Diceros bicornis minor: one gene and its partners. The protein of the gene in region 4 interacts with the protein of the main gene of each other region in a pairwise test. Links are inferred from orthologs where the notes say so. Each region holds a gene or a part of one and is shown on either strand. Other genes may lie near its edges. The genes, in order: ZNF276, ARMCX1, KIF9 and ZBTB8A.

Region 1 (7,234 bases), on a different chromosome or scaffold from region 4:
GTGCTTGGTTATCTCTGTTTGCCATTCATTTTATGAAAGTTGAAGCTGCTCTGCTCCAAAGACAATTTGCATTCATTTCTGCCAGCACAAGGGTGTTTCCACTCTGGGACCCCTTTCAACTAAATTCACATGGTTAGCTCACTTTGTCTTGCCTTCAAACCCTGGCTCAGCCCACCTTCTATTTTGCCCCATCTTACTTCTTAGAGCTTTGCGACTCTACCACCTGAAGCTTCTGGAAGATCTCAGGCGGCAGAAATGGAGAGAGCTTCCCCCCCTCATCTGAGTACACCCGGCGATGTCGGGTGGTAGGTGAGGGGACAGGAGCAGCCACAGGCATGGCTGGCTTCAGGCGTGTTTTCCCTGCAAGACATATGTAGCCAAGGGTCATCATGGGATCCCCACATTCCATAGAGGAGATGCAGACTTGAGGGGTGCTCCAGGAAAACCTTTTGCTGCAGACCCACCAAGCTTGGCAGCTGTTGAGTGGGCCCTCTCCAGGCACTGCTCAGCCAGTTTCAGCATCTTCGAGGTGTCCAGGGACACAGTTTCCCCAGCTTCTGGGGAGCAAGGGATAAGAAGGCTGGTCACCATCACCTCTCATCACTAATCAGATTCTTGCTGAGATGACAACAGAGGCAAGCCCATCTCCTCCTCACCTCTGACCCCTGGGTGACCCCACTCCCTCCTAGTCTCTGACCATCTGCCCCGGGTTTACTTCCTGACCCTGTGTGGACTCCGAGTTCGGCCAGCCCAGCATCTGACTGATTGTCCTGTCTTCTCAGCTGGACCTTTGGAGCCGTCTCTCTACCTAACCAGGCCTTTTCTCCTCACTGAGGGCTTCATTTACACCTAGAGCCTCTCCTCAAGACACAGGCCATTTCACAGAGACGGCTTCATCACCCATCTCCCGCCCTCTGGCTGTGCTCAACCCCACCCCTGGCGCCTCCCTGTAGCTTCTGTTCTGCATTCCCTCCTCTGGGGACTGCTCCTACCAGCAGACATGCTGTAGGAGCTGGCACCCAAAACTCTCCTCTGGACCCTGCCAGCCCCCGCTCCTGACCCACCTCCTGCTCCCTGTACAGCTGGCCCCTCCCCACACCCTGTTTTAGCCCCTGACTCCCACTGAAACTGCCCTCACTCACCCAGCCACGTTTTGCCCTGCTCTGAGGGCTCCCCCACCTCTCAGGTCCTCTCTCCTCCAGGACATCCCTCTCAAGGACACTCCCACTGCGCCCCCCCTCCCAGTCCTCAATCTCGGAGTGGCCAGAGCCCTGCTAAGTCACTGGCTCCCTAGGGCAGCTCCATTCTGGTGACTCCCGCCTCTCCCTGACTGCTGTGCTTCTGTGTTCAGTGGGCTGCTGGACACCTCAAGCAGAATGTGCTCAGGATGCAGCTCTCCATTCCTCCCCCACAAGTCTGCTCCTGCCACCCCTGTGCACCCTGCCCCGTGCCTCACCATTCCCCCAGCAGCTCATTGTCCCCCCCAGTGGCTCGACCCCCTGCCCTGCCTGCAAGCATGGTGAGGTCTACCTTTAAAGAATATCCCCAAGTCCTTCATTCCTCCCACCTCTAGGTGGTCCCACCACTGCTGACCTCACTGTGGGCGCCTCCTGGAGGGTCTGCTTCCATGCTGGTCTCCCCTCACAAGCCTCCACGAGATTCCCCTCACACCAGAACGACCCCAGTTCCACCCAAGGCCCTGCCTGCCCCAACTGCACCCTCCTCTTTCCAGCCTGCCTTCCTGGTACCCAGCACCCACTCTCATCTCAGGGCCTTTGCACATCTCTCTGCTGGGAATGCTACCCCCGTACTCTTCCTGGGCTGGGGTTCAATGTCCAGTCTCTGGTCATGCCTCCACCACCTTCCCATCCCCTTCCCCACAGCACCCATCCCTTCCCCACAGCACCCATCCCTTCCCACTCCCGCGTCACAGTGCGACAGCTCGTGCTTATTGAGTGCACACCCGTTCACCTTCCGCTAATGACCAAGTGGGTAGGACACAGGACACCCCCAGGGACCCACCACCGGCTAAGTTGTCCACCGTTTGCCCAGTGCGGAAGGAGCAGCGAGGCTGAGAACTGTACCTTTGGTGGTTTCCACTTCTTCCAGCAGTACCTGGGCGATGTAGTGGATGCTCCTTAGGTATTCTGTATATGCTTCCTGTGCCCAGGGGAGAGAAGGCATGGGTTGGGCCAGTGGAGGCAAACTATTCCATTACGTCCGCCTGGTGCCCTTGTGGGAAACACAGGAACAGTGGTTCCTGTGAGATACACTTGAGACAGCGAGCCTGAAGTTGTTAGCTGGTAATTCCTCCCGGTCTAATCAGTGATGTTCTGCCTGGGGCACAGATCAGATCCCTCTTCTCCAGACTTGAAAAAAAAGAGACCTGGCTGGGCATCCATCCCTCCTCTCACTGCCTTTCTCTCCAGCACAGGAAGGAATGAAGACTCTCATTCAGTGGGCCAGGGGAAGTGGCCTTGGCAGTTGCTGTCACTTTTCACTCTATGCAACAAGTTTCCTTCTTGTACAACTCAGAAGCCGTTCATTCAGTGGCTTTAAAAAAATATTTCCTGGGAGGTTACTAAAGGGACTGATGTTGCAAATCTTAGAATCACTTTCTGGCTTAGGTTCTGGGAAATCCCTTTCCTGAACCCCAGCATAGTACTCCCTGGGCATGTAGGAGTCTGGAACACTAGACTATCACCAGTTTCAAGGGTGGATCATTCTGTTCAGGGCTCCCTGACAGAGCTCAGGGCATTTGGAACAGCATCGTGTTTTGTTTTTTGTTTGTTTTGTTGCATCCCAGTTCTCAAATTACCAGTCTTTAAGTCTACACCTCAGAGATAAGGATAAAATGGATTCCGCGAAGGATTTCTGACTTGGCACCTGCTGCTCTAGAAAACCAACTTGGGGAAGGCAGCGGATAGCGGCGCCGGCCGCCTCTCCTGGGCACAGGCAGTCTCCCCCTCCCTGGACAGCCCAGCGTGGCTCAGCCGGCTTCTCCACCTGGAAACACCCCTTCTCGAAACAAGCCGCAGCTCTCCCCGCCGCCCTCCCTTCCAAGCACACTCGGACGACGCCTGGAAGCCGGGTTAACCTTTTCCGGACCGCCTCCCCTTTGGGGATCTGATGAAATCTACCGTGTCTGCCCAGAAAATACACATACACATGGACCTGTCCGCCAAATACGTTCTGGAGGGCCGCTTCACAGACCCTCTGAATCCCAGTACAAACAAAACCGCGGCCACGGGACTGCCCACTCGTTAAACGGATGGAGGACGCAGAGCGAGAGGACGGGAGCTGTCCAAGGTCACCGGCGGATGGGAGCCCGGTGCCCCGCCCGCCGCCCGAGGGTCCCGCCCGAGGGTCCCGCCGGCGCCCACCCCGTGGCCCCGCCCCGCCCCCGGGTCTGCGCCGCGGCCACCGCCCCCGCCTCGCCTCGCCTCACCCGGGGCCGGTTGCTAGTGTCCAGCTCGATGGCCCCGTTGGCCAGCTTCATGGCGCACTGCAGCGGTTTCACCGCGCCGTCCCCGGCCGCAGCGGCCATGGTTTGTCGGGCGGGGGGGCGGCGGCTGAGGGGCGGGGCGGGCGGCCCGGAGCCCGGAACGTACCCTGAGCGGGCGCGGGCGCCGCCCGAGCAGCGGACCGCGGGAAAAGGCAGGACCGGCGCGGGCACACTTCCGGCGGCCCCGCCCCTGCCGCCCCGAGTGCTCAGTTCCCGGGGCCGAAGGGGAGGAGATGGGGATGGCGAAGCTCTCAAGTAACCTGCTCACGCAGTTGCCACGAGCGTGCGAGTGCAACAACCGGCGCCCTCACTCCACGCCTGTGACACGCCAATCTCACGGGCCCCACCCCTCAGCGCTCGCCCCGCCCCTTGCTTTCCTAACACCGCCACGCCCCTCTTCACGCCCCCTCCGCGTGCCCTCCCTTCCTCGTCGCCCCGCCCCTCTCCTCGCCCCGCCCCTCGCCCTCCTGACAGCGCCCTGTCCCTCACCACTCGCCCCGTCCCTTGCTCTCCTCACACTGCCCCGCCTCTTAGCACTTTAACCCGCCGCCCCGCCCCTTGTCTCACCTTCCTCGCCCCGCCCCTTGCCCTCCTCATGCCGCCTCGCCCCTCACCGCTCGCCCCGCCCCTTGCTCTCACGCCGTCCCGCCCCCTCTCCTCTCCCCGCTCTTGCTCTCCTCACTCTGTCCCGCCCCTCTCCCTTCACCCTCATCACTCGCTCCGCCCCCCTCCAGTCAAGCGGACCCGAACAGCGGAGCTGAGCGGAAACGAGCGAGCACAGTCCACCTGAGCGGAGGAGAGACTCCGGCACCAGCAGGACCTAGCTGGGCCAAGCGGCCGGCCCCTGCAAGCCGAGCGAGGCTGAATGGGACCGAGCAGAGCCGAGTTGAACTGAGCGGGGCCGAGCCGAGCGGGGCCGAGCGGAGCCGAGCCAGGTCGAGTGGGGCCGAGCAGTGGCGGGCCTAGCCGAGCAGAGCCGAGCCGGGCCGAGCGGGACCGAGCTAAGCCGAGCGTGGCCGAGCTGAACCGACCCAGGCCGAACCTGGCGGAGCGCCGGGGCCGGGCTGTAGCCGCGGTAGCCGCCATGAAGCGCGACCGGCTCGGCCGCTTCCTGTCGCCTGGGGCGGCGGGGCAGCGCGGGGGCTCGGGCAGCGGCGGTGGCGGCGGCGGCGGCGGCGGCCGGGCTCGGGGCCGCCCCGCTCGCAGCGGACCGAGCGTGGATGAGACGGCGGCCTTGGTGGCGGCGCGGCTGGGCTGGGGCCGGGCTCGGGCCTGCGGGGATGCGGGCGAGGACGGCGCCGACGAGGCAGGTGGGTCCAGGGGCTGAGGGGCGGGGGGACAGGGTGCGGCCGGGGCCGCCGGTGACCACCGGTGACCACCGCGGCCCCCAGTTCCCCAAGTGACCACCACTCCCCCAGTGACCACCACCTCCACCGGTGACCACCGCGTCCCCAGTGACCACCACGTCCTCCAAGTGAGCACCAGTGACCACCACGTCCCCCGGTGACCACCGTGTCCCCAGTGACCACCAGTTCCCTCAGTTCCCCCAGTGACCACCACGTCCCCCAGTGACCACCGGTGACCACCAGTTCCCCAGTGACCACGTCCCCAGGGCCTCTTCTCGCCCTCGGCGCCGTCGGGCTCCTGGAAGCAGACCAGGCCTCCCGCGGACAGCGGGGGAGGGCGGCCTCTCCGTGGCGTCGGCGGCAGCCTGCGCCGCGGTGTTTCGCAGGACAGCTGACGCTGTCGAGCCCACTCCGAGCTCCTTAAGTGATTAGTGCTCAAGTTCTGCGCTCGGACAGGCCTGGGTTTCAGTCCTGGTTTTGCCCTGTGCTCTGTAGCCTTGAGATAACTGCCTAAGCTCTCGGGGCCTCCCGTCCTCGCCATTACGAGAACTCGGTGGGTGCAATGGAAGGTGCCCGGTCCCAGCCTGGCGGGGCGTGCAGAGCGTTTGCCCCCGGAGAACGGCTGCCTCCCGGGCAGAGAGGGGTGGCGCCATCTGCACTTGCAGTCAGGAGGCCCAGGGAGGCAGAGCGCGGACACGGCGTCGCTGTGGCCTCCGGAGGATGCTGTGAGGAGGAATGGCGTTTCCACAGCTGTGAAGACGTTTGTTGATTCACTTAAAAAAAGTCTTTTAGATCTATGTCTTTTGAAAAAAAGTTTTTATAGAGATATAATTGACATATAACGTTATATTAGTTTTAAGTGTACAACATTTTGATTGGATATCTGTATGTATTGTGAAACGGTCACCACATAAGCCTAGTTAACACCCATCACCACACACAGATTATTTTTTCTTGTGATGAGAACTTTTAAGATCTACTCTCTTAGCAACTTCAGATATACAATACAGTGTTATTAACTGTAGTCACCATGTTGTACATGACATCCTTAAGACTGACTTATTTTATAACTGGAAGTTTGTGCCTTTTGACCACTTTCACCCATTTCACCCACTCCCCTGCCTCTGGTAACCACCAGTCTAGTCTGTTCTCTGTATCCATGAGTTCAATTTTTTTTTTTAGATTCCACATATAAGTGAGAACATACGGTATTCATCTCTTTGCCTGACTTATTTCACTTAATGCCATTAAGGTCCATCCATGTTGTTGCAAAAGGCAAGATTTCCTTCTTTTTTATGACTGAATAGTATTCCACTGTGTATGTGTATATATATATATACATATATACAGACACATATGTATACACATACACTACGTTTTGTTTATCCATTCATCCATCAGTGGACACTGGGGTTGTTTCCGCATCTTGGCTATTGTAAATAATGCTGCAGTGAATGTGGGAGTACAGATATCTTTTTGACATAGTGTTTTCATTTCCTTCGGATATATTCCCAAAGATGGAACTGCTGGACCATAGGGTAGTTCTTTTTTTTTTTTTTCCACTAACCTCCATACTGTTTTCCGTAGTGGCTGCACTATGGAATTTTACATTCCCACCAACAGTGCACAAGGGTTCCCTTCTCTCCACATCCTCACCAACACTTGTATCTCCTGTCTTCTTTTTTTTTTTTTAAACAGTTTTATTTATTTATTTATTATTTTTTTTTTTTGTGAGGAAGATCAGCCCTGAGCTAACATCCATGCTAATCCTCCTCTTTTTGCTGAGGAAGACCGGCCCTGAGCTAACATCTATTGCCAGTCCTCCTCCTTTTTTATTTTTCCCTAAAGCCCCAGTAGGTAGTTGTATGTCTTAGTTGCACATCCTTCTAGTTGCTGTATGTGGGACGCGGCCTCAGCATGGCCGGAGAAGCGGTGCGTCAGTGCGCGCCCGGGATCTGAACCCGGGCCGCCAATAGCGGAGCGCACGCACTTAACCGCTAAGCCACGGGGCCGGCCCCTCTCCTGTCTTCTTGATAATAGTCATTCTGACAGGAGTGAGGTGATATCTCATTGTGGTTTTGATTTGCATTTCCCTGATAATTAGTGAGGTTGAGCATCTTTTCACGTAGCTGTTGGCCACCTATATGTCTTCTTTGAAAAAATGTTCAGATCTTCTGCTCCTTTTTTAATTGGATTGTGTTTTTGCTATTGAGTTGTAAGACTTCTTTATATGTTTTGGGTATTAACCCCTTATCAGATATATGGTTTGCAAGTATTTTCTCCCATTCGGCAGGTTGCCTTTTCATTTTGTTGATGGTTTCCTTTGCTATGCAGAACCTTTATAGTTTGATGTAGTCCCATTTGTTTATTTTTGCTTTTGTTC
Region 2 (7,904 bases), on a different chromosome or scaffold from region 4:
GAGTCAGGCCAGTGGAAGGTCCTGGGTTGGGGCTGGAGGTCAGGCTCGTAGTTGTTCCAAACCTGGATTTGAGGATCAGGCTAGGGGAGGAGGCTCCCAGGCTGGTGCTAGGGATCAGACTGGTGGAAAATCCTGGGCTGGGTCTAGGCCTGGAAATGAGGCCAGTAGAGGGTCTAGGCTGAGGCCTGAGGACCAGGCCAGTGGAAGGTCCCAGGTCAGTGCCAGGACAGAGGCCTATGAAGAATCCTGGTTTGGGGCTGAAGGTGAGGCTACTACAGGGTCCTGGTTCTGGAGAGGGGAAGAAGTTGGTTTTGTATCCAGGCCTGGAGGTAAAAACGAGGCCAGTAGTGAGTCTACATCAGGGGCTGGGGAGGAGTCCATCATTAGTTCCAGATTTGGGGCTGAGGACAAGACCAATATTGAGTCTTGGATCAGATCTGAAGAGATGGCCTGTATGGATTCCCGTGCGGGGGCTGAGGCTGGGGCTGGGGCAGGGGCTGAGGCCGGGAAGGAGTCTTGGCTCTGGGATGGAAATGCAACCACTACAGGATCTAGGCTTGGGGCTGGGGAAAAGCCTGGCATGCGGTCCTGGACTTTGGCTGAGGATGTAGATGAGGATGAGCTAAGTAGAGCATCCAGCCCTGATATTGAGGAGATCAGTTTAAGGTCTTTGTTTTGGGCTGAGAGTGAGAACAGTAATGAGTCCAGATCCAAGAGTGAGAAAGATGTCAATTCTGAGTGTAAGGCCAGCACCAAGGATAAACTTGAGGCTGCTGGTGGAGTCGATGTAAGGTCTTGGTTCTGGGCTGGTAATGAAAACAGAAGTGAGGACAAATCTACACCTAAGACTAAAGCCAAAAAGTCAGCTGAGTCAAGAGGCACATATCCGTCCATGGTCCCTGGGGCAGGAATGGGGTCATGGGCAGGAGCCATGATCTGGACAGAAATGAAATTCCCATACCAAAATGACTCCTGCTTCCCACCTGAAGAGGAACTCAGAAAGCAGATCAGGTCTGGGGAGAAAACTCAGCCCTGGGCCTGCCGCTGTAAACGTGAAGCTAATATGGATCCACGAGAACTTGAAAAACTCATTTGCATGATTGAGATGACTGAAGATCCTTCTATTCATGAAATAGCCAATAATGCTCTATATAACAGTCCTGATTATCCATTTTCCCATGAAGTCATTCGTAATGCAGGTAAAATCTCAATTATTGAAAGCTTGCTCAATAATCCCTACCCCAGTGTTAGGCAGAAGGCTTTAAATGCACTGAATAACATCTCAGTGGCTGCTGAAAATCATAGGAAGGTTAAAACGTACTTAAATCAAGTATGTGAAGACACCATCACTTATCCCTTGAATTCAAATGTGCAGCTGGCTGGACTAAGATTGATAAAGCACCTGACTATTATTAGTGAGTATCAGCATATGGTGACAAATTATATTTCAGAATTTCTTCGTTTGTTAACTGTGGGAGGTGGAGAAACTAAAGACCATATTTTGGGAATGCTTTTGAATTTCTCTAAAAATCCATCTATGACAAAAGACTTACTCATTGCTAATGCACCAACATCACTGATTAATATCTTTAGCAAGAAAGAGACAAAAGAGAATATTCTTAATGCTCTTTCACTATTTGAAAATATAAATTATCATTTCAAAAGAAGAGCAAAAGTATTTACCCAGGACAAGTTCAGCAAAAATTCCCTTTATTTCGTATTCCAACGACCTAAAGCATGTGCCAAGAAACTTCGAGTCTTAGCAGCAGAATACAATGACCCTGAGGTGAAAGAAAGAGTTGAACTGTTATTAAGTAAACTCTGATTAGTTTTATGTTTCCAAACAAAGCTGAGTAATATTTTGGTTTTGCAGACTGGAAATAATGCACATTGTAAATTGCATTATAACTTCAAAACTGATGTTACTTATGATGGTCTATAGTTGGACCACTTTATGAACACCAAATGAATTCAAACTTGTACTGAAAATACATGTGTTGATTTTACCTTGTCTGGATTGAGATATTTTTAGTATGCTTCATGAGCAGAAACTGAACTGATTCTTCATAAGTAAGGTAATCTTTGGTCCTTTGTGTGGACTTATGTTTATATATTTGAGACTTTATTTTTATGTCATCAATAAAGTTGTGTGTTTTAAGCAGAAAAAAAGAGACATGTCTTTGTCCTTGAGTGTATGATCTATTTGGAAAGACAAGATGTATGGAAAAAAAAGATATTAACAAAACCGGGAGCCTCTGATCATGGCCAGCTGCTTCCTATTAGTGCTTACAGGTGGCAGAAACTTCTGCAGGCAACAGTGCTCAGGGAAAGTTTTACAGAGGAGGGGACACTTAAGTAAGCTAGGCTTGAAGGATTGGATAATAATGGGGCAAAAGGGCATTGGAGGAGGGAGGAGTGGCGGGAAGAAAGGCATGGAGGTGGGAATCCTGCTCCAGAGAGGAGGCTGGGCTGCCTGGAGCGCAACGTGTGGGGAGGGGAGTGATGGGAAATACGGTCTGGCAGTTGGGGTGAGTCCCATTCGTGGAGGATCCCTGACTGCTAAACCGAGATGCCTGCGTATCACTCCATCCACCCCTGGGAGACACCAAAGCCTTTCGTGACCAGAGGAGTGACAGGATGAAAGTAAAACGGTGTGGCTGATTTCTGTGCAGGATGGGTTGGAGTTGGGGGTGGGGACAGGAGTGGCCACTGGAGATTGGAACACCACTTAGGAAGTTACCACCATCGTCCAGGCGTGAGATGATAAAGGCGTGAAATTTCACTGCTGGCCGTGGGAATGGTAAGGGGAGGAAGGAAGTGAGAGACCCTCTGAAGGAAGAAGTTCTGGAACCTATTCTGGGGGCATACAGAGAGGGACAGTTTTCTTTTAGGGGCCTGGGGCCATTTGACAGGAAAACGTCCTCTTTCTTGGCCAACTCTTGGTGTCTATGTAAGTGAATACGTTAGTTATTATTTTGAAATCAGAAAATATACTAGAAGAAAGAATAATTTTTAGTGCTTCTATCAGATTACTTTTATAAGGTTGGTTGGGGCAGGATCTTTATGGAACCATCACGAGGGCTGTTGGTATCCATACTGGAGAAGATCCACAACTCTCCCACCCCAGAGGGTGGTGAGGGTGTGTGGGGAGGGGCACTCTCAGACTGTGCTGGTGGGAGCCTACACTAGGACGAGGTCAATTTGGATACATGTTTCAGAAGCCTTCAAGATGTGTGTGCTCTTTGACTCAATAATTCCACTTGTAGAAATTCATCCTTAGGAAATAATCCAATAATTGGCTTATACAAGGCTGTGCATCTTTTCACTGTTTTGAAGATTGAAAAATCATCAATGACCCAAGTGTCTTAAAATAGGCATTTGGCTAAGCAAATTAGTGTATGTCTGCACATTGAAACATTATGCAGCTCTTGAAATGTTGATGGGCATCTACACGTATTTACTTGGAAAAAATTCAGCATATAATCTTAAGCGAGGAAAATAGGCTGCCAAAGCACATGCCATACTTTTTACGAAGAAAAAGTATATATTTAAATTATCTCTATGTATAAACTTTGGTGTATACTCTGAGAATGTTAGTTGTTTCCTATGGGTGTTAGATTAATGGTGATCGTATCTGTTTTTTACTCCTCTGTATTTTCTGATTTTTATATAATAAACCAGGATTTTTTTGCATAATTTATCAAAAGGAATCGGATGGATTCAGGCTAAGCAGACTTTTCAATAGCATATCAGAGGACTAGAGAAAAAGTATAAATGGAGGCTCACATATTTATGTGTAAATATTTGGAAGGTATAAAAAATATTATAAATAAATATTATTTAAAAAAAGCTGTAAATGTAAGTGCAAATGTTTGGAAATTTAAACTTTAGTAACTGTGTTAAAAGTAAAACTGTTCTCAATTCTAGCATTTGATGGCCACCAACTTTCTAGTGGAAAAAATGATGTCAAACTTGTGGATTCTGCAATCTGCTGCCCTAATCTTCCTTCGGGAATAGAGGGCTTATTATTTCAGTTACTAGGAGTGCTCTTCCAAGGTCATACCCCCTTCCTGGGGTACTTCCCATCCAATGACTGATCAACATGGCCTTCTTGCCCCAAATGAGACAGCTTAACTTTTCCCTCCGTCCAATTCTGCTTCCTTCTTTTCCCTTCCACAGGTGTTGATCCCAAGAGCATTCCCTAATAAAAGCCCTTCATGCTGAACTCTGTGTCTGAGTCTGCTCTCCAGGAAGGCAAGCTACAACAGTTGGTATGAGAAGTGGTTCAGGAAAGCATACACTGTGATGAAATTTTGGAGGTGGATCATCTGCTGCCCAGCTGGCAATGAGGACCCCATCATTGGTGGTAGGTGGAGTAGATAGGCACCTAGAACAGGTGGCAGAGGAATTGTTAGAGCTTTCACTGGTGGTGAACTGGGATAGCACTGGTGAAGGGAATGCATTAACTGGTGCCAGGTAACAGCTTTGAGAAATATGTGGGAAATATTAAATATAAAGAAGGCCATAGGGCCGGCCCCGTGGCTTAGCGGTTAAGTGCTCGCGCTCCGCTGCTGGCGGCCCGGGTTCGGACCCCGGGCGGGCACCTACGCACCGCTTGTCAGGACATGCTGAGGCCGCATCCCACATACAGCAACTAGAAGAATGTGCAACTATGACATACAACTATCTACTGGGGCTTTGGGGGGAAAAATAAATAAATAAAGTTTAAAAAAAAAATAAAGAAGGCCATAAAATTGGGTGGCTATTGCTAAGCTTGATTAATCTGTAGAAAAAAATAATGAAAAGCTGAATTAAGTTAATCAACAATTAAAAGCTATATGTGAAAGCCTGAGGGCTTTATTTATAGCATATAATGAGGTCCTCATCTTTTCCAGGTAGAGGGTACAGAAATCTGAGGACCAGGCTCAAGACTTATTGAAAGCAAGCTTCAAAAAAGTTAAAATCCCAACCAAGTCAAATCTGCTGTGTCAAGATCAGGGTCCTAGGTAGGAAGGAATGGGGACCCTCACATATGGTATGGGGACATCTGGATTGATATCCCTAAAAATCTTGTATCCTGAGATTTCCCTGAACTGCTTGAGCATTCAGAAGTGTCCCACTCCTTCCTTTTAAGGGCTAGAACTTCATTTTGCTTGAACATGCAGAGCCTTTGTAAGATAACGTGTGTTTCCCTCAGAATCTGCCTCAACCTCCCATCCTGGCTGCTGGGCCTATATCTAGGGTTAAGTCACAGTGTAACCTCATTGGGGTTGTGCTGGGCCTCATAAGGAAGGAAAGGGAATACCCCAAGAAGGAGCTGTGGGACCTAGCCAGCGTGTACTAGCAGGTGCTGAGGGAGTAAGCATGGGACTGAATTCTGAGGGCCTTGATCAGGGGAGCTGGAATATAAAATTGAATAAAGGAGAATTAATTGATTTGAGAATTCTCTCCCAAGATAGAGGATTGAACACCCTGGGAAAGACCCCAGGAGACCATGTGAACTCACTACTAGAATGGCTCCTCAAAGTATGGAAAAAACAATGGCCCATATTAAGTGAGGTATGAATGCCAGAGTTTCCATAGCAGATGATGGGAGAAGGGATTAAAGGCTCAGGGAAGTGGGAATGATAGAATAAATGTATGTAAGGCCAGAAAACCCTCCTGAGGACTATGTTCTGCAGGTAGACCCAAAGGGTACGCCATTTGCCAAAGCTGTAAAGAATGCACCTGTGAGAGGGGCACCAGCATCACTTAGAAGTTCAGTGGTGGCTCGCCTCTGCAGGCCAGGGCTCAGAGTAGGAGAGGATGTTACAGGATGAGGGTAACTGATAGAAATGGCGATGGCTCTGAAACAATAGAGGCAGGATGACTGTACTCAACTGTCAGATGTTAGGTAGATGCAAATACCATAATGTACCACAGGGTCAGAGTGGCAGGCAGAGAGGCCTGACCTGCAGAGAGCTGTGGAGCTGGTTAATATAACACAGTGCCCCTGCCGAATAGATGGTTAAGAGGTAGTTAATAGAATGCAGGTGGTTAATATAACAGTGCCTTGGGGAAAATAGGCAGCCAACAATCTATACAATCAAAAGAAATCAAAGATGATCAAGAGTCTGAGAGAAGTTGCCTCAATAAAAAGTCACAATCCCTTGGCCAGCTTCTGGTCCTAAGTCATTTTTTGATCTAGAACTCACTGTTTGAAGGAGAGGCTGGGTTCCCAGAAAGAAGGACCCTATAACATATATGTAGTAATGATTCCTCCAGTTTTTCCATTTACTCAGGTAACTGTGCACTGGGAAAAGAGGAATACCCAAACATTTTGAGGACTGATGGTCACTGGTTCTGAGTTGATATTGATACTCAGAGACCTAAAGTGTCATCATAGTCCCCCTGTTAGAATAGGGTCAGATGGGAGCCTGGTATTAAATGGGCTCCTGGCCTAGTTCACAGTGGTTCTACTGGGTCCACAGACTCACCTGGTAGTTATTTTCTTGGTCTAGGAATGTATAATTGGAATAGATATTTTGATAGTTGGTACAAGCCCCATGTTGTTTTCTTGGCCTGTGGAGTCAGAGCTATTTGTAGATGAGAAGGCCAAGTGAAAGTTTCTGAAACTGCCCTCTACTTCCTCGGCCAAGATAGTAAATGAAAACGTACAGCATCCTGGGGAGGACGGCAGAAGTTAGTACCACCTTTAAAGACCTAAAGAATGCCGGGGTGTGGTCTCACCATCATATCTTTATTTAATGCACCAGTTTGGGCTTCTGCAAAACGTGGACAGAGCCTGGTATATGACAGTAGACTACTGCAAACTCGACCAAGTGGTGACACAAGTGCAGCTGCCATGTCAAATATGCTGTCTTTGCTAGAGCAGAATGACATGGCCTTAGGTACCTAGTAATTAGCTATTGACTTGGAAAATGTGTTTTTTCCTATCCCTCTCAGAGTGGAACATCAGAAAAAGTTCACATTCGCATAGAATGGGCTACAGTATACATTTATAGTTTTTCCTCAAGGCCCTACTAACTCTCCTGTCCTCTGTCATAATATAGTCTGAAGAGATCTGGACTATCTGAATATAATACTAGTCCACTATGTTGATGACATCATGCTAATTGAACCAAAAGGAGTAAGAAGTGGATAGCACATTGGAGGCCTTGGTAAGACACATGTACACCAGAGGATTGGAGATAAACCCTATAAAGATCAAGGGGCTGGCTACATTAAATGCAGTTTTTATGGATTGAATGGTTTGGGGCATGCCAGGAGATTCCCTCTGAAGTAAAGGACAAATTATTGCATTTTTCACCTTCCCCACGAAGATGGAATCCCAACGTGTGGTAGGCTTCATTGCGTTCTGGAAGCAGCAGATTTCATACCTGGAATTATTGTTTCGACCCATGTACTGGGTGACACAAAAAGCTGCCAGCTTTGAGTGGGCCCTAGAGCAAGAGAAGACTCTATAGCAGGTCCAGGCTGCAGTTTCAAGCAGTCCTGCCACTTGGCCCATATGATAGATAGACCCTAATGTATTAGAGGTATCTGTGTTGGCAAAAGTTGCCATATGGAGTTTTTGGTAAGCCCTAATGGGAAAGTCACAGCTTAGTCAAGAACTTAGGTTCTGGAGCAAAGCCATACCACATGCAATGGAGAATTATGTACCTTTTGAAGACAGTTTCTGGTATGCTACTATGTCCTGGTATAGATGGAATGCCTGGCCATAGGACATCATGTGACCATGCAAGTGACTATGCAGCCAGAACTGCCCATCATGAGCTGAGTTGTGTCAGATCCACCAAGGTGTAAGAGTGGGCAGGCCCAGCAACAAGATGGAAGTTTTATACACAGGATCAAGCACAAGCAGAACTGGAGGACACAAGCACCTGCACAATCAGCTAGAGTGG
Region 3 (7,340 bases), on a different chromosome or scaffold from region 4:
TAAATAAATAAAAAAGATCCAAAGATGGGCTTAAGGGGAATTGCTCTCAAGACTGAATGCAAAATTTTGCACATATGTAAGTAGGTGCATTTTTCTGGGGGGAAGATTCATCGCTTTCAGTTTTTCAGAGTTTCAAGTCACCACAGATACAGAATGTGATTAAAAAAAATCCAATATATTACCGTTTTCTGTTATGCCTCTACTTAACTATCCAACAGGAACCCAAAGAATTTAAATTTCAAATATTTCCAAAAAGAAAGTTAAGCAAGGTTCAAGAGTTGGCAGTGAATTTTGAGAATGTGGCATGCCTGCTAAAGCTGACTTTCATACTCTCCCTAAAACTCGCGAAGGTAGAAAAGATGACATGTTGTTAAGGATGAATACAAATGACCTAAGGTAGATTAATTCACATAGTAGCAGCTGAAATCAGTTCAGTCACTGTCAGTGACAGTAGGAGCAACAGGAGCGCATGAAAGAACATTTGAGAGCCAGCCTTGATGGCATAGCGGTTAAAGTTCCACGCTCTCCGCCTCAGCGGTCCGGGTTCATTTCCTGGTCACGGAACCACACCACTGGTCTGTCAGTTGCCATGCTGTGGCGGCAGCTCACATAGAAGAACTAGAAGGACTTACAACTAGCATATACAACCATGCACTGGGGCTTTGGGGAGGGGAAAAGAAAAAGAGAGAACACTTGACCTGGACTACGGAGACCAGGAGTCTAGCCTCTCGTCCTAGTTCTGCCTAACTCAATCTGTGACCTTGGACAAGTCCCTTCTCCTTCTGGGCTTGGGTTCTCATCTGTAAAACTGCAAGCTACTGAGAGAGAGCAGTGGTCTGCAAACTCTTTTAAGGCAATGAACATTATGTTTAGATAAAATCATCCAGAATTCATCAGAAGCTAAAGCAAATTCAAAATGGCAGGTTGAACATATGTGTTTATCTCCACTCCCTCTGGAAACCCCATTAAGTTATTATTCATAAATATCTACTACTTATTGAGCATTTACTACATAACTGTTTTAAGTGTATTAACTAATGGCATCCTTAACACTCCTACTAGGTAGGAGATGATCCCCATTTTATAGATGAAGGAACTGAATCACCAGTATTTAAGGAACTTGCTCAAGTTTTCACAGCTAATAAGTGGCAGAGCCAGAATTCAAACCCAGGCAGTCGGGCTATACTACCTCTCAGACTGACAATCAAGGAACAGCAAAGCTTCCAAGGAAAAAGAAGCTGAAAGAGAGAGCAGATTAGAAAGGGTACCCAATTTTGGAAGATGAAAAGCAGACAAATGAAAAGTCACTGACTTAGATGGAGAATACTGAGTGCTGCAGATGGCAAGCCACTGCAGAACCCCCTCCAAAACTCAACTGTTGGAGACACAGGTTTCCTCTGAAGACGTGCATAAGGAAGGTTGAAAACAGGCAGTACTGGTGCCCTTCCCCAGCAACTGCTCTGTCACCACCCCAGCAGAAGACTGGAGGTTTATTCTCTGGACAGGATGAACTAAAGACTCCAGACCTGGGTAACCAGGGCACCACTGAAGACAAGGAAGTGGCACCATTCAGGGGGATTAAGTCAAAGTCTGCATACAGAAGCAAGAGACTCCAGTCCCCTCCCACCATAAGGCTCCTAGAGTGATAACAGTCAGGCTTATTCCACCTAGGCAGAAGCCTGAAGGAAGATCCATGGACTCCGAACATATCCCATTGAAAAAGACAAGTCTATCATCCTGTGGCTCTAGGAATGTGGCCTCAGGCCAGGAGTAGCATCACTGGAGAACTTGTCAGAAATATAAATTCTCAGGCTCATGCCAGACCTACTGAACAAGAAATTCTGGGGTGAGGCCCAAGAACCAGTGTTTGAACAAGGCCACCAGGTGATTCTGATGCCCACTGAAGTTTGAGAACCACCGCCCTACAGGGAGGCCCACTAGTCAATAAACCCATCCTACACCAAAAAGCTTCCAATGAGATTTTCAGTGCCTATCTATTTGGAAGACAGTCTGGAATCACCAGAAGTTTCAGGAAAGACTCTATCCTGAAAGAGACAGACCAAAACAGATTTCATACAGCAGCTCTAATGAAGGGGAGTGAAATGAGGCAGAGCCCGGTTTGCTTGGCTTCTCTCTGGCCCCACCATCACACTGCTACCGAGGGGCTCCTCAGGCTCTACAGGAGAGTTAGAAAACCAAGGAAGCAGATGCTGTCTATGGTCCTGTCCAGCTCTAGCCTGTGGCTTTATACTGGTCCTTATGGCCCAGACCCTTGAAACTAATACAGCAATTTAGACTGACACTCTCGGTTGGAACTACCTCTGATAATTTACTTGTCCCTTTGAATGAACAAAAAACATTTTAATGGAAAAATCATCCAAGCATTTTTATGCTGAAGAGTTGCTATATTCCATATCCGCATTAAATGCAGAGGCAAAATGCACTGCTTTAATTTATGTAGAAGTATCTGTGACCATCCCACTCTATCATGTCCTTTTTGCTTCTCTGTGTCTTACAAGCTTTCCCTGGCTCACCCTACAGCCTAAATCTTAATCCAAAAACTCTCCCCTATTACTGCTTTTCACCAGTCTCTACTCACACCAAGTGTTACCGCCACAACCAGATGATTCTTCTGCTTACAAATCTCTAGTAGCCTCAACATCTTCTGTCACATAATCACCATGGACAAAAATCTCTCATTTGTATTTACTTCCTCTACCTCCTTTAGTCCAGCTCATTTTTCTCAAACCCCATGGTTTCCTTCTAAAGATCCTTTCCCCTCTCAGGCCACTTCACTCCTCTCTTGGAAAACTAATCTCCTGTGGGAGGGGTTTAAACTGTGGAAATACTTATGCCAGGCATTATGCAAAGAATACCATAAATTTTCACATTTAATCCTTACACTAATAGTGAGAATTAGGAATCATCCCCATTTTTACATTAGGAAAACTGATGCTTAGAGAGATTAATTAACTTGCCCAAGGTTACAACTAGGATTTTAATCCAAATCCTTCTATCTCCAAAGCCACACTCCTAACCATTCTACTCTACTGTCTCCAGGGGTCTGACTCAAATATGTGGAAGCAGAAGTTTCCTTAACCCTGTAGAAAATAAGAAGAGCAAAATGATCTCTGCATAGTTTTGTTTTTAAACAGGGTCTTCCACAGATGCTGAGAGCCTTCCAGTCAAAGCCCACCAGAGAACAAGGCTTGCAGCAGCATTTCCCCACCTGGAGGGCTCCACGTGGCTCAGCAGCTGGGCCAAGGAGCAGCACAGCACATGCCTCTCCAGTAGGCATGGATGCAAAGCACAGGAGGAAGGCTGGCTCTTGCGCCCAGAATGCCAGTGGGGAACAGGTGGTTAAGATCCCTCTCCCTACGCAGCCCATCAGTCCATTCTCTGAGACCTCTGTGGTAGTGGTGTGTCTTCCAGTGTGGGGCAGAGTAGCCGCCCACCTCAAAAGACTTCCAGATCTGATTTTAAAAGCTCTTAAGAGACAAATAGTAATCTAACAATCAAGGGCAAGCAAGGACTCCTAAAGAGAAGCCTGCGCCTCTACAACAGCACAGCTAACTTTGAGAGACAAAAAACTATGTCTACGGTGTCGCAGAAGGTGCTTCAGCGGTGCCCATCAGAAAGTTGAGACTGACACCGCCCCTTCCTCCATAGAGGGGCTGCAAGTCCATTTTCTCTTTCTGTGTGACAGAAAAGGGAGGCGGGCACCCCAATGTCTCGCACTCCGAGGGCCTCAACGGCGCACATCTCAGCCTTTCCTTCTAAGGGCTGAGAGGCTGTCCCTGTCCGTCTCCCCACTCAGCCCCAATCCCCCTCTCCCATTCGGCAGCTCTCTCTCCCGTACTCGGTCTCCCTCCAACCTCCTTTCCCCACCCCTCTGCCCGCTAGACCTCTCTTCCTCTATTCCCCCGTCCCTCTTTCCTCCTCACTAGGTCCCTTTTCCCTCGTCCCCGCGCCGCCCGGCCCTCGGTACCTTGAGCGTCACGTCGCACAGCTTGCCCTGCCGCCGGATCTCCTCCATGACGCCGTAGCCGCGACTCGGCAACTCGGACACGGAGAAGTGCACCAGATCCTCCAGCTCCTCCGCGCCGTCCTCCACCATCTTCCCCGGCCGCCGCGACTGCGCAGGCCTGGCCTGCCGGCCCGAAACTAAGCAGGGCGGGGCGCGGGGGCGCGCCGACTGCAGCTCGGACCGCAGGGCTGGAACCAGCTGGGCCTGCGCGGCCGCCGTAGTCACCGACGGCTCTGCGCCGGAAGCGCTGCTGCCCCGCTTCCTTGTTCATGTGCAGCCTTCCTACCGCTGCTTTCCCCGACCTGGCTTCGCGCCTGCAGCTGCCGCAGTCTTCCTAGATTAATCAGTCCCATCTCCCGTCTTCCCAATTCTGCCCTGATCTTACTCGTGTCTCAACAGAGGACTGCGGACTTCATTTCCGCCACCATCCGGATACTTCCGGAATCTCCGCAAGCGGCCCGTTGCCATGGCGACTGTGTACACAGCCGGGCAGCGGTGCGTGCCAGGTTTCGGTCGCTGCTGTCAGCCGTTGCGCTGCCGGAGGGCCGCTACTTCGGGAGCGGTGAGCAGGGGCCACGAGCAGCCGGGATGGAGAGAAGGGAGGCCGGAGAGGGGGTGTACACCTGAGGGGCGGTCAGCGGCTGGATTCCGAACACCGCTCCACAGGGGAGTTCCTTAGCTTGTTTCGATGATCTGTGAAACCTGAGCAGAGGAGGGCGTGGCATCGCCGGGGCCCTTTCAGCCTGGCTGCGGCATAGGGTCTTCGGATCTAACGTTCCGTGGCCCCACAACGGTCCTATTTCGCGCCTGAGGTTCAGAGGGCGCAAGGCAGAGGACCAGAGATCTTCTGGACTTTTGTGTACTAGTTGGTTTTCGAACTGGAGGGGTCTTCGGGATCGCCATTCCGAGCCCTTCGCTTTACAGACGAGGAAACCGCTCCAGAGAGAGACAGGAATGGTCCCAGGTTCCGCTGCCTCCCACACTCCGCACAGGGGTCCAGCATGTTGGGTGAAAAAGGAGATAAGGCCAGTTCTGCTTGGATCCGAGTCTTTTGTTTAGCTCAAGGCTGGGTGCGTTTGGCCTCTGTGTTTTGGGGTTTAGATGCTCCTGCCGCTTTGGTGGTTATGAGGGTTCTCCATGAGATCCCCTGGTCTGGGCAGGAGCGCTGGAAAGTAGGGACCCGCCTGGTGCCTATGGCCCAGGAGACGCTCCCTCTCCTTTTACCGAGCCTTAAGGGGTCCTTGGTGGCAATTCTATTCATTCTCACCCCTAAAACCATGGTGATATCGCGAGCCTCTCAGCAGGGAGGTCTCCTGGTGGCCACACTCAGAGGTTCACTTATTTATGCCAGAAATATCGAAGAGTGGTGCCCATGAGAAAGGGGCATTCCCTACAAGGTCCTGAGGGAGAAGGACCCCACTAAAAGGGAGGGCGTGGTGAGAGGCTGAACATGGCTTCTTGCAAGTGGTGCCTGGAAACCAAGTGTCCTCCTGGAAGGGCTGTGGGCTTAGGAGTTGGAGGTGGTGTGGGAGGGGAGTGACATCATATGCCCCTTGGAACTATCTCAGTAGTGACGGAAGATGGACCCACATATGGAGATTCAGCCACCCTCTGACTTCCAGCTGTGACCATCACCACCAACCACCATTTCTTGAGCATCTTGCTCTGTGCTAGGCACTGCTCTGGACGTTGAGGGGGGATTCAAAAGAGATAAAAGGCACAGTCCTATCCCTCAAGCAGCTTGTAATTTAATTTGGGAACTGAAGCCCACTCAAATGATGCGGCGTAAGAACGGTAACAAGCATTATTTCAGTAAGTGCAAGATGGCATGGGGTCTCCAAATGTGTGGGTCTTGAGGGGCTGCTAAGCAGCAGATTCACAGGAGGGATGTAGTTAATAGAGAAGGCTTGCTTCAGTTGGATATTACTTTTGGCATGCCTGGAGCCATGGGTGTGAGCACGGGGAGGGCCTTGGGAAGCACAAATAGGGTGACTGCATGTGCATGTTGGCAAATTGCAGGGCAGAGAAGGGGCTGGCTCTGAGGGGAGGGTGATGCTTGGAGCTGGCCTCCTGTGCTGTCAGTGAGTGGGGGCTGCCGGGAGGGAGGCCTGGGCACCTGCCCCCAGACCTGGCCTGCTTCTTTATGATCCTTTTCAAAGGGCACCTTGGGCAGCATCTTACCTTCCCTGGACAGGAGGATGGGCCCTCGAACTGGTCTGGGAAATGGTTCCTAGAGCTTTAGAGATTGAGGGTAAGTATTTGCTTGAGTCAAAACACACCTCCCTCCACTCACCTTCCCAATAGCCTAGAACAAAGTGAACTTGGAGATGAGATGTTCTCTTCAATTTCCTCAATTTGGGATTCGTGTTAGAGCTCTTTGTGGCTTTTTATTTCTAGAGCTCAATTTTGTAGAGAAAAATTTTAGAACTGAAATTGGACAAGCCATTATCCTTGCTTACTTGAATACCTTTCAGATTCATTTTCTAAAAGTTAAAAGGTCTGAATGATCCCATAGTGGCTTGGAAAAGACTTCCATGAAATAATTACTGGAGGAATGTAGGAAGTGGACACACACTCTCCAATAGGCAAATATGAAGGTAACATATTTGCTTATTTGATTTGACATCTGAAGTGCTTGTAACAGGGGTTAGAGTTTTACTCTGTCCACAGCATTGAAACTGTAAACTGAAAGAGGGGGGCCTGTCTCTTTTTAACTTGCTTCTATAGAGATACTTAATGCCACTTGATGATAGTTACTATAATTGTAAGAGGAAATCAAGTGGTCCCCACAAGTTGTGTCTAGAAATGTGGAGGGTCAATGATAATTTCAAAATCTGGAATCATTTTTATCGGGTAACACTCATTGAACTTCTCTTAGAGAATATGTGTCAAATTTTAATATTCTTTATTTAATGTGCATTTTTAAAAAGTGAAATAATTAACTGTAATTAAAAGAAGAAATCCCTGTCATGCATGACTTTTTCTTTACAGTAAAGGTCTTGAAAATTAGCTTTTTAAAAATATTAAATATCATATCAGTTTATTTCTTAGAGTGCTTTGCAGTAGCACAAGCAAGCTGTTTTTTCCTTAATAACTGTGTCGATATTGCTATTTCCCAATTTGAAGATGAAATTGAGTCAGCTCCCTATGGCCCGTGTTTCTCTAACTCATTGTAAATTCAGCAAACTCCTTTGCTGGTTGTCTTTTTCAAAAGTGTCCAGGAGTTTTCTTTAGCCTCAACTCCTCTCTCCTGCCCCATGAATGTACAGGTTATTTTAGGGGCAAATGCCTCGTTTCTTATTGAACTGGTCCG
Region 4 (7,609 bases):
TTTTATCTAACTGAACAGCACTCTGAGGTACCACCTTAGATCTTTTTTAGGTCTTAACAAAGGATTTTACAGCCACTCTCCTGATTTCATCTTTAGATTTTGTTTTCCTGGCATTGTCCTGGATTTAATCTTTGCTCAGAAACTATTTCTTAATTTTAGCATTATTTGCCACCTAGAGAGGCTGGGGATTTTCAAAACCAGCAATTTCTGGCTTCCTTTTGCTTAACAGTCCTTCCTTTAGCTTATCTCTCTTCTTACATCTTTTACTACATGTGGCAAGAAGAGACCAGGTGACCCCTTCAACCCTCTGCTTGGAAATCTCCTTAGTTAGATCACCCAATTCATTAGGTACATTTTCTACTTTTCACCTTACTGCAGGCAATAGTGTTGCTACATTTCTGCCAATACGTAACAAAGACCCCCTTTCCTCCAGCGCCCAATAAGATTTTCATGATTTTCCTTTAAGCCCTCACTTTCAGCTTCCTCAAAGGCCATCAGGACTCGACTCTTTTTTGAAAGGCTCAAACTTTCACTAACACTCATCTCAAAGTCCTTCCAGCTTCCACCCACTGCCCAGTTGCAGTTATATTTTTAGGTTTTTGTTATGGTAGCACTTTTAGGGACCACAATCTGTAATAGTTATCTATTGCTGCATAACAAATTACCCCCCACAGATTAATGGCTTAAAACAACAAACATTGATTACTTCAGAAGGTTTCTAAGGGCCAGGAATCTGGGAGCAGCTTAGCTGGTTCTGGCTCAGGGTCTCTCATGAGGTTTCAGTCAAGCTGTTAGCTGGGGCTGCAGTCAGCTGAAGGCTGGTCTGGGGCTGGAGGATATATTCCAAGATAGCTCACTCATATGGCTGTTGGCAGAAAGCCTCAATTCATCTCCGCATGGCTGCCTGCGTATCCTCAGGCAGCTGGCTTCTCCTAGAGCAACTGATCCAAGATAAAGAACAAGCAGGAAACTGCTTTGACTTTTATCACCAACACTCTGAAATCACATGCTATCATTTCTGCTTTATTCTATTCTTTAGAAGCAAGTCAGTCAGTCCCGGCTCACACTCGTGAGGAGGTGAATTAGGATCTATCTCTTGAAGGGAGGAGTGTCAAAGAATATGTAGGCATTTTAAAACCATCACACCTATCCATGCTCTTCTCTTTGCCCTCCAGTTTCAATAAGGATAGTGGAGTTATCACTTTTCCTACCCAGGGGCTGTTCCTCTATTGAGATTTTGATCTCCTTCTCCCTGAATTTGCAGAAATTCAGCCACTATTAATTATTACTCCGATATACTCAATATCTCTCTCTCATCTTCCTGTTTTCCATCAGCAGTTAAACATTTTTAAAGTCTTTTACCCATATCCCCTTCTAGCTAATACCCTCTCTATTTGCCTGGAGTAGTTTTAAAACATGGCCTTAAATTCTCTTACATTCTTCCCATTAAGAGACAGCATATATGTCCCCTTCTGCTTGAATCTTGGTAGGCTTGTGACTACTTTAACCAATGGAATATGGTAAGTGAGGCAATACAACTTCTGTAGAAGGGTATGAAAGATCATGCAGCTCCCTCCTAGTTCTCTTGGAATACCCCCTCTTTATATGCTCTCTCGGGACACTCACTCTCAGAATCCAGCCACCACGCTGCAAGAAGCCCAAGCTGCATGGAGAGGCCATGTGTATGTGCTCCAGATAACAGTGACAGCCGAGCCCAGCTTTCAAGTGATCTCAGCCTTGGCACCAGACCTATGAGCGAAGAAATAGTTTCCAGTTCCCAGCAGTTCAAGCTATCTTCAGCCATTTAAGACTTCCCAGCTGAGACTCCAGACATCGTGGAATAGAGACAAGCCATCCTTGCTGTACCTTGCCAAATTCTTGACCCATGGAATCCATGAGCATAATACAATAGTTTTTGTTTTATGCCACTAAGTTTGGGTTGGTTTGTTACACAGCAATAGTAACTGGAACATCCCCTTTACAACCAACTCTCTCAAAGGAGTCGTCTACTCTCATCATCTCTATTTCTTCATCCTCCACTTATTCCTCTTATATAGGTTTTGCTCCTTTCTTTCAAGCTTAATAATGTTCTCTGAAGTCAATGATCTCCAAGTTGTTAAATCTAATAGACATTTTCTCTTAGTGCTAAGAGAAGTAGTTAACACTATTGTCTAATTCTTCCTTCTTGAATTACTCTCTTCTAGTTTCCATAACACCACATTATTCCAAGTCTCTTCCTTCCTCTCTAGCCACTTCTCAGTCTTATTTGCAATTTCACCTTCCTGTAACCAGCCACTAGATGATGAAGTTCCTCAAGCTTGGTTCTAAGCCTTCTCTTCTTACTTTATAGTGTGCGAGATCAAGATTTGGCCACCCTGAAATCTATCTCTTTACCTTGATTGTTTTCTCTGAGGGACATTTGACCTCCCCCACTAACTGCCTAAAGAATTTGACATGGTGGCTCCTTCCTGGGACAGATCTTCTATCATGATGGCTGTAATGATAATGTAAAATAGATGTTACAATGGGAGGGGCACCAAGCCCCTTTTATCAAAAAACTCTCTCTCTCCCTGACCACATTATCTATAGATGACCCTGAAAAGAATTGTCTTCTTGCCCTCTGAAGTCCCAGACCACTACCCACCCGCAACACCTTCCTCGCCTTTAGCTACAATACTTAAGCAAGCAGCTTAGACAGAGGGACGAGTTGCTCATTTCTGAGTTTCTCCTATGTATACATGTTATTAAACTTGGTATTATTTTCTCCTGCTAACCTGTCTTGTTAATTATTTGGCCAGCCATAAGAACCTTAAGGGAAGGGGCAGAGGGGGATTCTCCCTCTTCCTCCAACAATAGTCTTTCTCTCTATCCATATCCATGGTTTTAATTCCCAGCTACAGGACATTGACGACAACATTTTATCTCAACCAATTTCATCTATTAAGCTCCAGTTCATATGTCCAGATAACTTCTTAACATTTTGTACTAGTCAGGGTTCTTAGTTGCACAGAGACTGGCCTTGGCTGATTTAAGCAGAAACGAATGTATTAAAAGTTCACAGAATCACAGGAAGAGCAGAGCACAGGGGCTGGAGCCTATGCTAAGTGGACAGAGAGAACAGCCCAAGTCATAGCACAGAACTTCCCGGTGATGATACCAACACTGCTCTCAGCAAACAGAGACATGGCAGCTGGCACCATTGACAGCATTAGCACTGGACAGTGGATGCTGCCACCAGCAGCACTGCCACTAGGGCACCTGGAGATATTATCTTGCTGCAACCGTCACCACCGCCAGAAAAGACTCTGAGGTTTCCGCTTTTTGGTGTCAGAGCTCCCTCTTCAAAATCACTGGTGGATAGATCTGATTGTCAAAATATAGACCATGGCCATTGTCCTAGTTGCAAGAGATTCTGGGAAATCAAGTCACTAGCATTTCCAGATTCTATTGCAGAAACCTCCCATCAATTAATCATAAGGAATTCTCCAAATATATATATGAGTTTCAGAAGCTAGGAGGGGGAAAGCGAGGAAAAAACTCCCATTACTTCTTCCTTGCAACAAAGAGTTTATCACCAATCTGATGTGCTCTCTTGAGGAACAAGTTTGTAGAACTCTTTTGCATGTTTTTCATTAACTAAGGCTAAAATAAAACCTTTCGCTATAACAATGCCCAGATCTTTCTGAGAGAATTCTCAATGGGGATGCTAGCAGAGCAGCTTGAGTACATCAACACTCCTGACACCTAGTGGTTTTCAAACATTTCCACTTACCTGTTCAGAATGTGAGGAAATGCAACTAAATAGCAACACACCTCAAGAGTAATACTGAAGTGACATTAAGAGATAGTTGTGAATATTTTGTATCCTTCTCATAGACAGTATGATCCTCAAAATGCATAGCTAATTATTGATGAACCAAAGTAATAAACTTTGTACATGACTGATTATTACATAGGAGAGGAATCCATCAAAAAACTAAATGTCTTGACATTTTGAGTCTTTTTTTCAGTTTTACTATATCTCAGTACTTTTCAGTACCTGACCCCAGCATAAGAAACTAGGAAACAAATTTAGTTTATAGAATTAATGTTTTTGTAGTAACAGTGAAAGTTCAGTGATTTAAGATTCTAGCAAATATATAACCTGTTTGTACTCTAAATATTAAGGACATAAATATGTCAGAAGAAAGGCTTGATGTACAATGAATTTCGGTATTTGAAAACACAAAACCTGCTATTTTTACTGGTTTTATGTTTTCTCTGAACTTAACCAAGATTTATTTTCTCTTATCTCAGCCTCTCTGGATTTTCCTCTTCAGATAAACTGCTTGTGGCCTGTAGAGGTTTAAAAAAGGTTATCCCCGACTAAAATAACTGCCGCAATAAAGGGAAAAATTCTGTGGAAATCTCTTACATTTGACGTTGCAAAACTTAAGTACAATAATGTCACATGTACTTATACAGTAATTGTGGGCACGCCTAAGTCCCTCCCTCTTTCCTAAACCAAATTCCCCAGATCCTAGAAATCCAGCCCTTCTGCCCTCCGGAGGCGCCTTTCCCAACGTAAAGCACAATTTTAAATTTCAGCTCCTGACTAAATAATGATTCCGTAGTCAACTGCCGGGGAATCTGGGCACCCCAGTGCCTCCGGAGGGTGCAGCGGGGCGTAGGCAAGGGCAGGGGGAGTGGGCGAAGCTGCTGGTTGGTGCCTGAAATCTGTGCGTTGCCCCTTTAATTGTGTCCCCAGCCCTCGGGCGTTTCTGTCCAACGCCCACGTCAGCAAATACCTTTTGTTTCTCTCACGTTGGGGCTACTTGTTTTAGGGCGTAAAGGAACGGCTTCGAGAGGGGGTATTTCCCCTGCCGGGAACCGGGAGTCTTCCCCCAGCCCGCGCGCGCGACCCGCCGGTGCGCCGCGGCCCGCGGTAAGTGGCTGCGCGCGGCGCGGGCGGAGGGCGGGCGGGGCGTCGGGGCTGCCGGGCCGGCCGCGAGCTTCGCTGCGGGCGGAGGCGCCGCGGGCTCTGACCGCCCGGGCGGCGTTGGCGGCGGGATGCGGCCCGGGCGCGGCGCCCCCAGACGTCCCGGGGCGGGAGAGCGGCGGGAGGCGCAGAGGCGAGCGGGCGCCATTTGCAGCCCGGGGCGCAGCGGCGGCGGCGGCGCGCCGGCTCCGAGGGGCTGGAGACGGTCACAAAGGAGGCGCGGGCGCCGGCGGCGGAGGACGCGGCCTCGGGGCGGCGGCCCGGGCGGCCCGCGGGGAGAGGCGGGCGGCGCCGGGGCGCACCGGCTCCGGGACTCCGCGGCCGCCCCTCCCCGCGCCCGGGAGGGGCTGCGGGACAATGGCTCGCCGTCGCCGCCCGGCCGGCCGCGGCGCGGGGAAAGGCGGGAAGGCGCGCGGAGTCTCCCGGCGGCGGCGGCGGCGGGAAGGCGGCGCGGGGACGGTGCCGGGCGTGTCTGCAGCCGTCGGGCGCCGCGGACTCCCGGCGGGTCGGCGGCCGGCGGGGCTCGGGCTGCGCGGCGAGTGACGGGCGGGCCGCCCAATGGGGCGTCGGGGGCCGGGCGGGCGGGGGGCCCGGGGCTTCTCCCCCGCCGTCCCGGGCGCTTCCTCGGGAGGGTGGTTCCCGGGGCGGTAGTCCGAGTGTCTCGGTACATCCTCCATCCTTTGGTTTTTTATCATGATGCGACAGATCCGGGCTTAGAACCGAAGGCAGACTTGTCTGCACCTAACAAATATCGAGCTGTAATTATTTTATGACGGAAGCACACATACGCACCTTCTACCCGTGTAGACTGGCTCTTCTGTAAGTTAGCGGTTTGGCCCCTTCCCCTTCAAATGCGCTTATTGATCGTTGATTGTGCCAGTAGCTAGACTGCACATCTTTCAAAGACGTGTTTTCTTTTGATTTTTTTTTTTTAAACTGAGATGTAATTGACATATAACATTGGTCTAACGTTTAGGCCAAGACGTATTTGGGAGCGCTAGATTCCCACCTAGTGGGCTTTTAACGACACACGTCAGTATTACTTCTATTCTTAATAAACGTTTATATTTGCAGAACTTTATTTAGTAAATGGAGTGCTTTCACCTCTACGAATTGTTTCACATAAAACAACCACCCAGTCGGGCCGATAGTCATTCCACTTTTCAGATGAGGAAACGCGGTAAGCGCGGAGTTTAAGCGTTAAGCCAGGAGGCGAACCATGGCAGCCTCCCAACCGCCTTCGCTTCCTGTTCTTGCTCTTCATTCCCTCCTAAAGGCACCTCCAGAGTCTTATGGAAAGCAAGTCGGTCACGTCGCTCCCCTGCTCTAAAAACCTTAACTGGTTTTTATCAGAAAGAAAGTCCAAAATCCTCAGAAGAACCAAGGCCCATACTTCCTCTCTAGTCTAATTTCACCCAAGCCTCAGGTATGGATGGGTTTCTGGGAGCCCGGGAGCAAGCGCCCTTCACTGGTAACCAGGGGTCTCATGTCGTTATTCTTGGGGACCTTTCTGGCCACACAGGCAGTAAAGGGGAAGTGAGAATTTAACCAAATGGGTGCGTGTGGGTTCGGGTATAAGATGTCCGTAGGAGGCATCATGAGTACCTGGACTCCTAGGTCAGATAAATTTCCAGCGCCATGAAAGAGGGCACCTTGCCAGACCTTATCTCATGGCCTTGAAATTACCAGCTCTGCTGGTAAAGATTTGGGCCCAGCAATAACTGTGTAAAATAGAGTAATACTTAATTCATCCTCTATCATTTAAATCGTATTTTCTAGCTAAAACAAAATTTCCATCTAATAGGCTTAACCCTTTCAGTGACATAATTACATGTTTATAATATTTAAAGGATTTGATGTAAGTTGTTTGATTCCCCTTGAGAGAAGTTTTTGTCACTTCTTAGCTCAAAATTGGTCAGTGGCTCCCCATCTTACTCAGATGAAAAGCCAGAGGCCCCCACATAGTCTACAAGGCCCTGCAGGAACTGGTCCCATGATATCCTACCCACCTCACAATCTGCCCTTCCTCTCTGACTCCATCTCTCATTGCTCTCCCCAGCCCTCCTTGCCTGCTCCACCTCAGAGCCTTTGCACTTGCTGTTCCATCTGCCTGGAACACTCTTCCCCCAGATAGCCACATGACTCTCTCTCTCTCCTTTGGACTTGACTTAAATGCCATCTTCTCAGTAAGACTTTCCCAGCTATGGTTTTGATTCTCTTAAACGTTTTATACTTAATTCTAAATCTTTTCCAGTGTTAAAAGATGTTTATCCACCAAAGAATACAATTACCATGCAGTTAGCTGAAGTTCCTTCTGACCCGGGGGTTTTTGCCAAGGAGGCTGATGAGATTTGTTTGGGTGACCCTGATGGGACACACTAAATTCTAGATAAATGACTATATATCTTAAAAGAGGTAGTCTTCTAGCCCACAACCTTAATTCAAGTTACACTCGTTACCTAAATCTTCAGTCTACTCATAGAAATTCTTGTCTTTTCCTTCTATTCCAAAGATCTTTGAACTTAATGGTTTATAAAATACATAATTGTTTTTTCCATCCACCTTTTTAAAGGTCTTTGAAGTTGATGGAGATCTTGATTTCTTTAATATTCTTGGGACTTTTATAGATAT

The links.
Region 1: the proteins of ZBTB8A (region 4) and ZNF276 interact in binary tests that used the Homo sapiens proteins (3 or more experiments, as listed by UniProt). The two-hybrid records come from large-scale screens. The link is inferred for Diceros bicornis minor from reciprocal best matches to the Homo sapiens genes ZBTB8A and ZNF276.
Region 2: the proteins of ZBTB8A (region 4) and ARMCX1 interact in binary tests that used the Homo sapiens proteins (3 or more experiments, as listed by UniProt). The two-hybrid records come from large-scale screens. The link is inferred for Diceros bicornis minor from reciprocal best matches to the Homo sapiens genes ZBTB8A and ARMCX1.
Region 3: the proteins of ZBTB8A (region 4) and KIF9 interact in binary tests that used the Homo sapiens proteins (3 or more experiments, as listed by UniProt). The two-hybrid records come from large-scale screens. The link is inferred for Diceros bicornis minor from reciprocal best matches to the Homo sapiens genes ZBTB8A and KIF9.

Annotation. Positions count from the first base shown.
Region 1 is NC_080771.1:38,054,444-38,061,677, forward strand, and holds the start of ZNF276 (zinc finger protein 276), read left to right. Parts: upstream 1-4,234; 5' UTR 4,235-4,589; coding exon 4,590-4,815; intron 4,816-7,234. Other genes in the region: VPS9D1 (VPS9 domain-containing protein 1), read right to left, coding at 198-360, 465-557, 2,085-2,160, 3,449-3,547. UniProt on the Homo sapiens protein: May be involved in transcriptional regulation.
Region 2 is NC_080781.1:94,604,172-94,612,075, forward strand, and holds the start of ARMCX1 (armadillo repeat-containing X-linked protein 1), read left to right. Parts: upstream 1-4,892; 5' UTR 4,893-5,006; intron 5,007-7,052; 5' UTR 7,053-7,160; intron 7,161-7,904. Other genes in the region: ARMCX4 (armadillo repeat-containing X-linked protein 4), read left to right, coding at 1-1,825. UniProt on the Homo sapiens protein: Regulates mitochondrial transport during axon regeneration. Increases the proportion of motile mitochondria by recruiting stationary mitochondria into the motile pool. Enhances mitochondria movement and neurite growth in both adult axons and embryonic neurons.
Region 3 is NC_080741.1:48,642,229-48,649,568, reverse strand, and holds the start of KIF9 (kinesin-like protein KIF9), read left to right. Parts: upstream 1-4,337; 5' UTR 4,338-4,589; intron 4,590-4,678; exon of another isoform or gene 4,679-6,221; 5' UTR 6,222-6,250; coding exon 6,251-6,278; intron 6,279-7,340. Other genes in the region: KLHL18 (kelch-like protein 18), read right to left, coding at 3,989-4,117. UniProt on the Homo sapiens protein: Essential for normal male fertility and for progressive motility of spermatozoa.
Region 4 is NC_080752.1:47,225,746-47,233,354, forward strand, and holds the start of ZBTB8A (zinc finger and BTB domain-containing protein 8A), read left to right. Parts: upstream 1-4,597; 5' UTR 4,598-4,924; intron 4,925-7,609. UniProt on the Homo sapiens protein: May be involved in transcriptional regulation.